2 linked regions of the Coturnix japonica genome follow. The protein of the gene in region 2 binds, or shares a complex with, the protein of the main gene of each other region. Links are inferred from orthologs where the notes say so. Each region holds a gene or a part of one and is shown on either strand. Other genes may lie near its edges.

The links.
Region 1: the proteins of MPP1 (region 2) and GYPC are in contact, whole or in part, in an NMR structure (PDB 2EJY), measured with the Homo sapiens proteins. The link is inferred for Coturnix japonica from reciprocal best matches to the Homo sapiens genes MPP1 and GYPC. Residues at the interface, in NP_002427.1 of Homo sapiens: Pro81, Met82, Gly83, Ile84, Leu86, Lys87, Leu88, Leu100, Val130, Gln134; in NP_002092.1 of Homo sapiens: Arg123, Lys124, Glu125, Tyr126, Ile128.

Annotation. Positions count from the first base shown.
Region 1 is NC_029522.1:22,778,132-22,782,626, reverse strand, and holds the start of GYPC (glycophorin-C), read right to left. Parts: upstream 3,047-4,495; 5' UTR 2,845-3,046; coding exon 2,811-2,844; intron 1-2,810. UniProt on the Homo sapiens protein: This protein is a minor sialoglycoprotein in human erythrocyte membranes. The blood group Gerbich antigens and receptors for Plasmodium falciparum merozoites are most likely located within the extracellular domain.
Region 2 is NC_029519.1:2,081,132-2,084,941, forward strand, and holds part of MPP1 (55 kDa erythrocyte membrane protein), read right to left. Parts: intron 3,633-3,810; coding exon 3,564-3,632; intron 1,407-3,563; coding exon 1,210-1,406; intron 822-1,209; coding exon 715-821; intron 137-714; coding exon 56-136; intron 1-55. UniProt on the Homo sapiens protein: Essential regulator of neutrophil polarity. Regulates neutrophil polarization by regulating AKT1 phosphorylation through a mechanism that is independent of PIK3CG activity.

The sequences.
Region 1 (4,495 bases), on a different chromosome or scaffold from region 2:
CTGGAGTCACTGCAGTCCAACAGGAAGAGGGCAAAAGCTGCAGTTAGAGATTGCCAAACTTGTGGAATTCTTCCAATTTTGTAATAAGTCAGGCACTTACTTCCTGTGCATCTGAGCAGTGTTTGGAAGAAGCAAATATGTCACTAGAAGGTGATATACTTAGAAATTATGTATTTGAAAGTTGGGAAGTTCGCATCTCTTTAGTGAAGTTAGGTCTTCTTAATAAAAATAACAACAATAATGACATGAAAAAGAAGAAAGAAAATGGAGATACATTCACAGCACAATATTGAATCCAAGCCAATGAATTTGAGGTCCCAGCTCCATTTTTGGCTTTGTTAGAAGACTTCTTTCCTTCGGTATTCCTGGATTCTAGCCACATGCAAATGTCTGTTACAGAAGAATGATGGAGTAAATATTTTACACACTGCCTAGTATCAGCAGACTGAACTACTGGCTCACTCAGCTCTCCATTGAGTATACAGAGACCCCACCGAGAGTGATGGGATGTTGGAGCTAAGCATGGCTCCCTGACATTATAAGGTATGGTACCCCCATTGAGAAGCAGAATACATTTGCTGACTTTGCAGAAGTGAACAGTTTAAATCTGAAACAGCAATCTGCTCCCACATGGATTGATAGGATTGTACTGCTCTTATAGAATTAATAAAAATCCCTGATCAGCTGCAAGTGAACACAAGGAGATAAGCAAAGAATACAAGCAATTAGGTAACTTAACCCTGCTTAATTTAAATCGGTAGGCAGCTGCTCTAAGGTCTCACCTGCAAGTACCCAGGAATAATTAATATAGTCAGTAATAATTAATATATTGAGTCTAGTCAAAGGGTTTTGGTGATTCTTTATATGTTTTTACACCCATTTAAAAGATTTTCATTATACTTCTGAAGCAAATGCGTTTTCCCAAATATGCTGCCTTTCTGTAACACATCTGCTGTCCATACTGTGCTGCCCCTGGTAGTACATCAGCTTTTTGATGTCTTATAACTTACAAATATTACTGGAATTTTACTAACAAATAAGACCTTTGTCCCCAGCCCTGGTCCCCAAAACTTCATCCACTATACAAATAACGCCCTGGTTTTACTGTGCCAGATTATGTTACAGATTTCTCTTTAATTTTATTCTTTCTCTGTCATTTGATCCATATAATTAAAAAATAAACAGATAAACAAACAAACAAACAAACAAAAAACACCAAAAACAATAATCAGAGGGACACAATGTGAAATAAGATACATTCTGTATGAATCAGTATGAGAAATTATGAGGGCAAGTAAAGAATAGACAGTCTTTTTTCTTTTTTCTTTTTTTATCAGGCTGAATTCTTATTCTAGCAGGATTGAAAACCACTTATTTGGTGTTTTGAACTGGTTCTTGGCTTGTCACCAGGCCAAGACTGTCACTAGACATGAAAACTTTGGTCTGGACCCTTGGTGATACTGCACAAGGAGCAAAATGAACCTCACTGAGTCACTGCTGCCCTCCTGCACATGTAATTAAGAGCACCAGTGGAAGTTTATTCACACTTTTGTAAACCCAAACTCAGGATCCTGAATTAGCCTGCCTGTTTCTTTCCTGTCTATTACAGAAAAACAAACGTTAACAGAAACAATAGTAAACAAGTCATTATCGCCTAAACTGCTGAGTAATATAGAATAACATATAAGAGCTATCATCTAATCTTTGGAGTTTGTTGGAACTTGCAAAAAAGAAATAAAGGGTAAACAGAAATTGCTGCCTGGGATTCCAGAGCTACTGCTCGCTGGGCTGTTTCTGCTGGATCAGCCTGTCCCATTGAAAGCTCAGGAAGCACCGCTGCCATTAGCTTCCATATAGACCAAATATTCTGACAGCACAGCCCAAATTTCCAGCAGCTCCCAGCAATCCTGTCTGTACATTTTGTCTTCATTACTGATACCACAGAATGATAAACAATTCTGCTATTGGCAATTTGTTTATTAAAAATATTACAAAATTACTATCTCAAATTAAAACAGGAAAGATTATACCAAAATCATGAAGGAGAGGGTCACATCCTGCTGTTGCAGCGCTGAAAACTTTCCTCAGTTTATCAGACCAGAATCCATCCCCTTCTCTTCCGCTTTCTTTTTTTATGCTAACCCAAAAGGAATGCAGGCATGCTGCCGTTAAGCATCTGTGTTCACTTGACTGTTCAGGCCAAATTCTCTTTCCAAGTTCACTAAAATATGCAGAGTTATGCCAGCAGAGGACTTGCCCTCTTGCACCCTCCCTTTCTGAGAAGCGAACTTGCTTGTCCTTAAGCCCCCGTTTCTACATTTCCAGAGCAGAAATACATTGTGACTTTAAATATAGATGGTCCGTTTGTGGCTTTGCGTCTCATGTTACACGCAGACAGCCTGGGACTCTAAACAGAAGTTGGGCAGCACCATTAATAGCTTAGAAAAGCATCAGGAAGTTTTCGAAATGCTCTATATTTTCATTCCTGGAGGTGGGGTGGGGAGGGAAAAACATTTAAACTTTCTTAAACCACAGTTTAGACAGAAACATTACTGACTTTGCTTGGTCCTATTCAGGAGTTGGAGTCTGCAGAGCCGTTTCAGTTCTTCACACACATGCACGTACACACACACACAAAGAATTAAAATGGAAAACAGTTTCATTGCAACTTTTTTCCTTCAGGATGAGTCTCAAACATTCTTTTTCTTTTCGTTTTCCCTTTCACATGAAACACATTTGACAATCCTTTCCTGAAGCGGCAGACTGGTAAACCCACTCTTACTGCAAGGAGGGGGGATAAGGGTACTCACGTGGTTGAGATGTCGTATTGTTTTGGTAACTCATAATTTACGCCTTTGAAAAATGCCTTATTTGTGTTGACAGCCTCTCTTCCCTGCTCAGAACCGACGGCGGGATTGAGCAGAACAGCTGGAAGAGCCCAGGAAAATGCAGCTCTTGTTCAGGCTCTCCTTTCCTGGCTCCTGACCCCTTTACAACTGGAAAAGGAAACAGCACATGTGTCATTCTCTTTTGCCTGTGTAGCTCACATGAGCGGGGAGGGGCACACATTTGCAGATAGCAGTAACTGTATTCAAGTTTTGCAAGTTGGATGTATTCCATCCCTTTGCTTTTACTAGCCAGCAACCAGTGGAAAGAAAATGCTCTTTACTTTCTCAGCCAAATTCAGACGCACCTATTAGATTCACCTCCCAAGCCCCTACTGACATTATTTAAGTGCAAAACTCACTGCGCTGTGAGTCCCCTCCAAAAATGCCCGTCATCGCTGGGTGAGATCAAGATCAGAGCTTCCAAGTTTTATTGCCCAGCAGCATCCTTACACTCACAGTCTGATCCTGTCCTTTTAATGGGTGAAAGCTGAGAATGGCATTTACTGGGTCAGAGACATTGCATCTGCATAGAGCGTGAATCTGAAGCGCATTCAGAGTGAGAAATAACCTGTGGCTGAGACACAGGCTGACACATGGGTAACTCCAGTCCTGGGCTCTAACACAAGATTCTTGTGGTATCTCGGGCAAAGCACTTCATCTCTGCCTCAGTTTGTCATCTGCAGAAAAAAGATGACATGTTTTTTTCCTTCTAGTCGTGGTATTTGTATTTTAATCCACAGGGAAGTGTTCTTTATAAATAGAATATGTTCATTGGTCTGCATTACTCCTACTTTGCAGCAAGTTTTTCAGCCTGGACTAGGCTACCAGCTCCCTTGTTTATATTGCTACTATTAGCTATTTCTGTGCTGTGGTGCATCCACATTCACCATTACTGCATACTCCAGTTACTGCAAGTGTCCATATACAGTGAACACCGTGAGCTGTGACTTCTAGGTCCTATCAAAACACAAGTCCTTTATAACACATCTGTCTTAGACAGTATGAAGAGTGGGTGAAGTTTTTGTTTTCCTAGTCCCTGTGAGTCAGGATGAATTAACTGCCTGTCTGTGACAGCAAAAACACAGTACCCATTGGAATGGAAATGGAAAAAAACAGAGTCATGAAATTCAGGCTGAGACTCATCCTGTTTTGTAAAATTGTTGCAGGATATTTCTGTGAAATCATCTCAGTGACCTCCTGCAAGAAATCATTGCTGTGAACTTGGTTCATAGCATTTATTTTACAGCTATAAGATGGAAAGACCAGTGACTTATTTGCATGCCAAAGCCAAATAACAGCTTGTTTGTGAGCACAGATACAATAAACGACTTGGGTCAGCACTTTCCAAGCTCACTGTAGAGAGCTCTGGAACATTCAGTGATGGATGCTACAAAGCAAAGCACAAAACAAAGAGGCAAAAAACTCCTGACACTGGTTTCAACTCACAAAACTGATTTACACCAGATAGCTTCAGTATGGAAATATTGAAAGGCCTGTTACTTCTGTATGTGAAGCACAATTTGCACAGGTAAAATTACATCTTTCTGTCCTGGAGTGTGAGAAATGTTGTTATGCAAATTTTCTACATTTAAGTCCTTAATTATCCA
Region 2 (3,810 bases):
CTCAGCCCTGGTTCCCCACAGCCCCTACCACGTGCAGGACAGGGGCAGGACCTACCTATGAGCACCAGTGTCTTCCTCTTGAAGGCAGGCAGCCTCACCACCTCCTCGTATGAAACTACATCCAGCTGGTCAAAAACTGCAGTGAAGGAGAAATAAGAGTAATTAGAGCTGTCTCAGCTACAGGATAGGACTGTGCATGCTGGAGCAAAGCCAGATCCTTCAGCAAAATCTAGGGAGCAGTCAAGATGGGCTGTGGGTTTTCCTCTGCTTGTCTGGCTTGGGAAAGAGCACCAGCCCCAGCAGCAACCAGTACATGGCATATGTGTGGTGCTGAGAGGCTGGACTAGCAGCCTCTAAAGGAGTTAGATGTTTTCTCACTCTGTTTCTGCTCAGGGCAGTAGGACCCTGGGGCCGGGTGGGGAGGCAGTGGGAAGTTGCAGAGAGCTTGTTGCTGGGGAAGCTTTATTTATCTCTCTGATTTACGGCCTTGTTTGCTATCGGTCGGAGCTGTAGGTTGGGCTAGGAGCCAGCACGTCCTCAGGCCACTGCCTTTGCTGTCCTGGAGCAGGCCAAGCACTGCTTAGCACGGGGTTTAAGCAAGCAGATGACAAGCACGTGCCCCAAAAGCGACGCTGCTGGCTGTGCAGGGCCAGCTCCTGCCCCGCATTTGGCAGCCTGCAGGGTTTGGGGGCCCAGCACCCTGCTTGCACTTACTTGAGCTGTGCTTGGCTAGGTATTTATCTTTGTACTTCTTTTTCTTCCCAAAGGGGCTGCAGCTCTGGGCTTCGCTCTGACTGGATTGGGTGACACTCGCCACACGCCTGCCAAGAGAGAATAACACCCACTGTGTTTGGGGGCCCTGGGGAGCAGAGGGATCATCCCTCACACATGCAGTGGGGTGACTGCTGGGACAAGCAAAGACTCATCCTGGAGCAGATGAGGTGAGGCGTGCCTCCTTCCCCAGCAGTGGCACTGGTACTACCCAGCATGGTCACTGAGCCCCAGATCCAGCACTTCCAGCCAAACCCAGCAACCACATCCTTATGCAGGGCTGTGATGGGTCATGGCAGTCATGGTGAGACAGCTCAGATCCTGTCAGAACGCACCTAATGCTTGCCATGCATGACACAGGACCTCCGTGCACCAAAGCCATGAGATGGACATGTGGCATCTTATGCCCAGACTGGGATTTCCTGCAAAGGGACTTACCACTCCTGCAGTTCAGGGGAAGGGATGAGTCCTGCTGACTCGGTACTGGAGCCTTCCACACGGCCCTGCCACCAGTTGCTGTCATCCTTGTTGATGATCTGAATCACGTCACCTGTCTGGAACTTCAGCCCTGCTTCCTTGCAGGGGATGAGGTTGTCTTTCCTGGGGTCATAGTCAAATTGTGCCCTCATGAACATCTGAAAGAGAGAAAGGGCTGGGATCAGTATGGCCATATCCAGTTCCTGACTCCATGCTGCATCTCCCAGCACCAGCTCAGCAATAGGAGCTGGTGAAAGAACTGCTGCCTCTCTGCAGGACCACGTGCCCTGCAGCTGGTGCTCAATCTCTGTCTGTGTAGCCCCTTGGCAGGCCTGGGTTCTGCAGTGAGCAGCCAGGAGCAAGCAGGGCAGCCCTGCATGGCACAGGGCCTTCTGCTAGCCCAAAGCACCGTGTCACATCTATCCCTGCCTGAGACTGTCCTGGCTCTTCAGTACCACCTCTCCCTGGGAGGAAGGTACAGCACACACATCTGCGCTCAGGTCCTCCCCAGGTAGGACAGACCATGCTGTCCTTAGACCATATCAAAACAATTTCCCCACAGTACGTTCCTCCAGCAATGCTGCTGTGATCTGCCAGACGCACGGGGCCAACAGGACACGAACATGGTTCTCTTTTGCTGCCAGAAAAGCAGAGCACATGGATCACACTGTGCCATGAGACCTCTCAAGGAAAACAACAAAAATGGAATGTCCTTCCAGGATCCATCCAGCCACCTGCTCAAGACTGACGCTTGTTCTGAAAGCGCTCTCCAGTGCCAGGAAGATAGTCGTCAACACAAGCACATGAGGGACATGCAGCAAGTACTGCCCAGGCACCTGCCTGGAGCCCTCTCCTTCAGCCCTGGTGCCCCTGGCTAGACATAGCCAGGTCACTCCTCATTTGGAAAGACCCCACCAACAAGAGTTACCTTCAGACACTGCCCCGGGTCAGCTCCCAGTGCAGACTATTTGCCAAACGCCTGCCAACCCCATTTCTGGGGCTGGAAGTTGAAATACCCAGCAGGATCCAGCACAAGGAGTGCTACTGTTTATAGTCAAAAGCCTGCAGCTGGAAGTGACCCTAAGAGACCGGAGCACTCAGTGCTTCTTATTAGGATCCTTCCAAACAGAATTGCCCCAGGAGGTCTGTGGCTGGCCTCAAATTGCCAGCTGCCGAGCTGTGTGGCCAGCTGGAGCTGTTTACCCATGGCATCGTGGTGCTGGGATCTGCCCCATCCTACCTGTCACACTGTGAAATTAAGATGCGCGTGGGGACAGAGGAGAAGAAACAAAACCAGGAGTTACTTTGCTCCCAGCAGGGGATTGCAACAAGCAGAGACACAGGCACAATATGACCTGTGCTTCCTGGGAGCCCGGATGCAATGAAAGGGAGTACAGCAGTTGTTGCTGGGCAAGGGTTTGTCCCCGTGTCCTTCTCTGAACCCGGAGCAGGTGCAGGTGAGCCAGCAGCCATGTTCTTTTGGTCAGAGGTAAGTTCTCCCCAGGTGCTGAGCTGGCCTGGCCAACAGGGAGGGTAGATAGGGCCAGCACTTAATACACAAACACATGCAAGGTTGGCTGAGCAGGAACAAAGACAGCAAGGGCTAAGAGGCAGTTTTTACTTGCTGTAAATTGTCTGTCCTCAATGGAGGGGCCATGCTGGGCTCCGCTCCTGCACCTGGAGCAGGTCAGTATACCTGACATCATCCCAGCCTTCCCTGCTATCCTGAGCACTTCAGCCAAAGCAGAGCTCCAAAGACAAAACCAGCCAAGTGCACCCATCTGAACATGTCACCCCTGCCACAGTGTGTCAGCCCTTCCCATGCAGTGGCAGCAGAAGCTCTCTTCCTCTCCCCCACCACTTCCTTCCTCCCACTTGCTCACTGCTAACGGTTCCTACCAACGTGCTGACAGCAGACAGAGCTAAATCATTCACCCTGCAGCTGAGGCACTAAGCATCAGTGATGGTGTGGGCATGTGCCCTGTGCTGCACCTAGGGGCTCTGCCATCACCCTGTAGAAGAGAAATGGCTGCACAGCTCTGTCATGGCAGTGCTCACAGGGAACAGGAGGCTCTTGTGCTTCCCGATGCACACACACAGCTGCTTTTGCATTACCAAACACTGCACACATGTACCTCTGACGCATGCTTCTACACACACATCTGGTTTATACATCTGCTCATTTGCACAGGCCAGGTCTCTTCCTCCTTCAACAGCTCAGTGAAGGGAAGAGGACAACCAGACCAGCACCAACCCCCGTGGTTTGCTCTGGTCCCACCCAGCCCCACAGCCACGGGTCTGGAAGCTGCACTTACCTGGAGAGCAGGGAGGCGGCTTTGCTGGTTGGGAATGACTTTTATTGAGACCATCCCCTGGGTTTCTTTCTAGTGAACAAAGGAAGGGGAGAAAGAAGAGTTGGAGGACGTAGACCTGGATGCAGCCCAACAGCAGCAGCCTGTGCACAGAGCAAGGCACTGCCAAGCATCACCAGAATAAACCATCTCCAGCCCAGCAGCCCCAGCAAGGAGCTTGACAGGGCAGGCCCATTTGGACAGCATGATG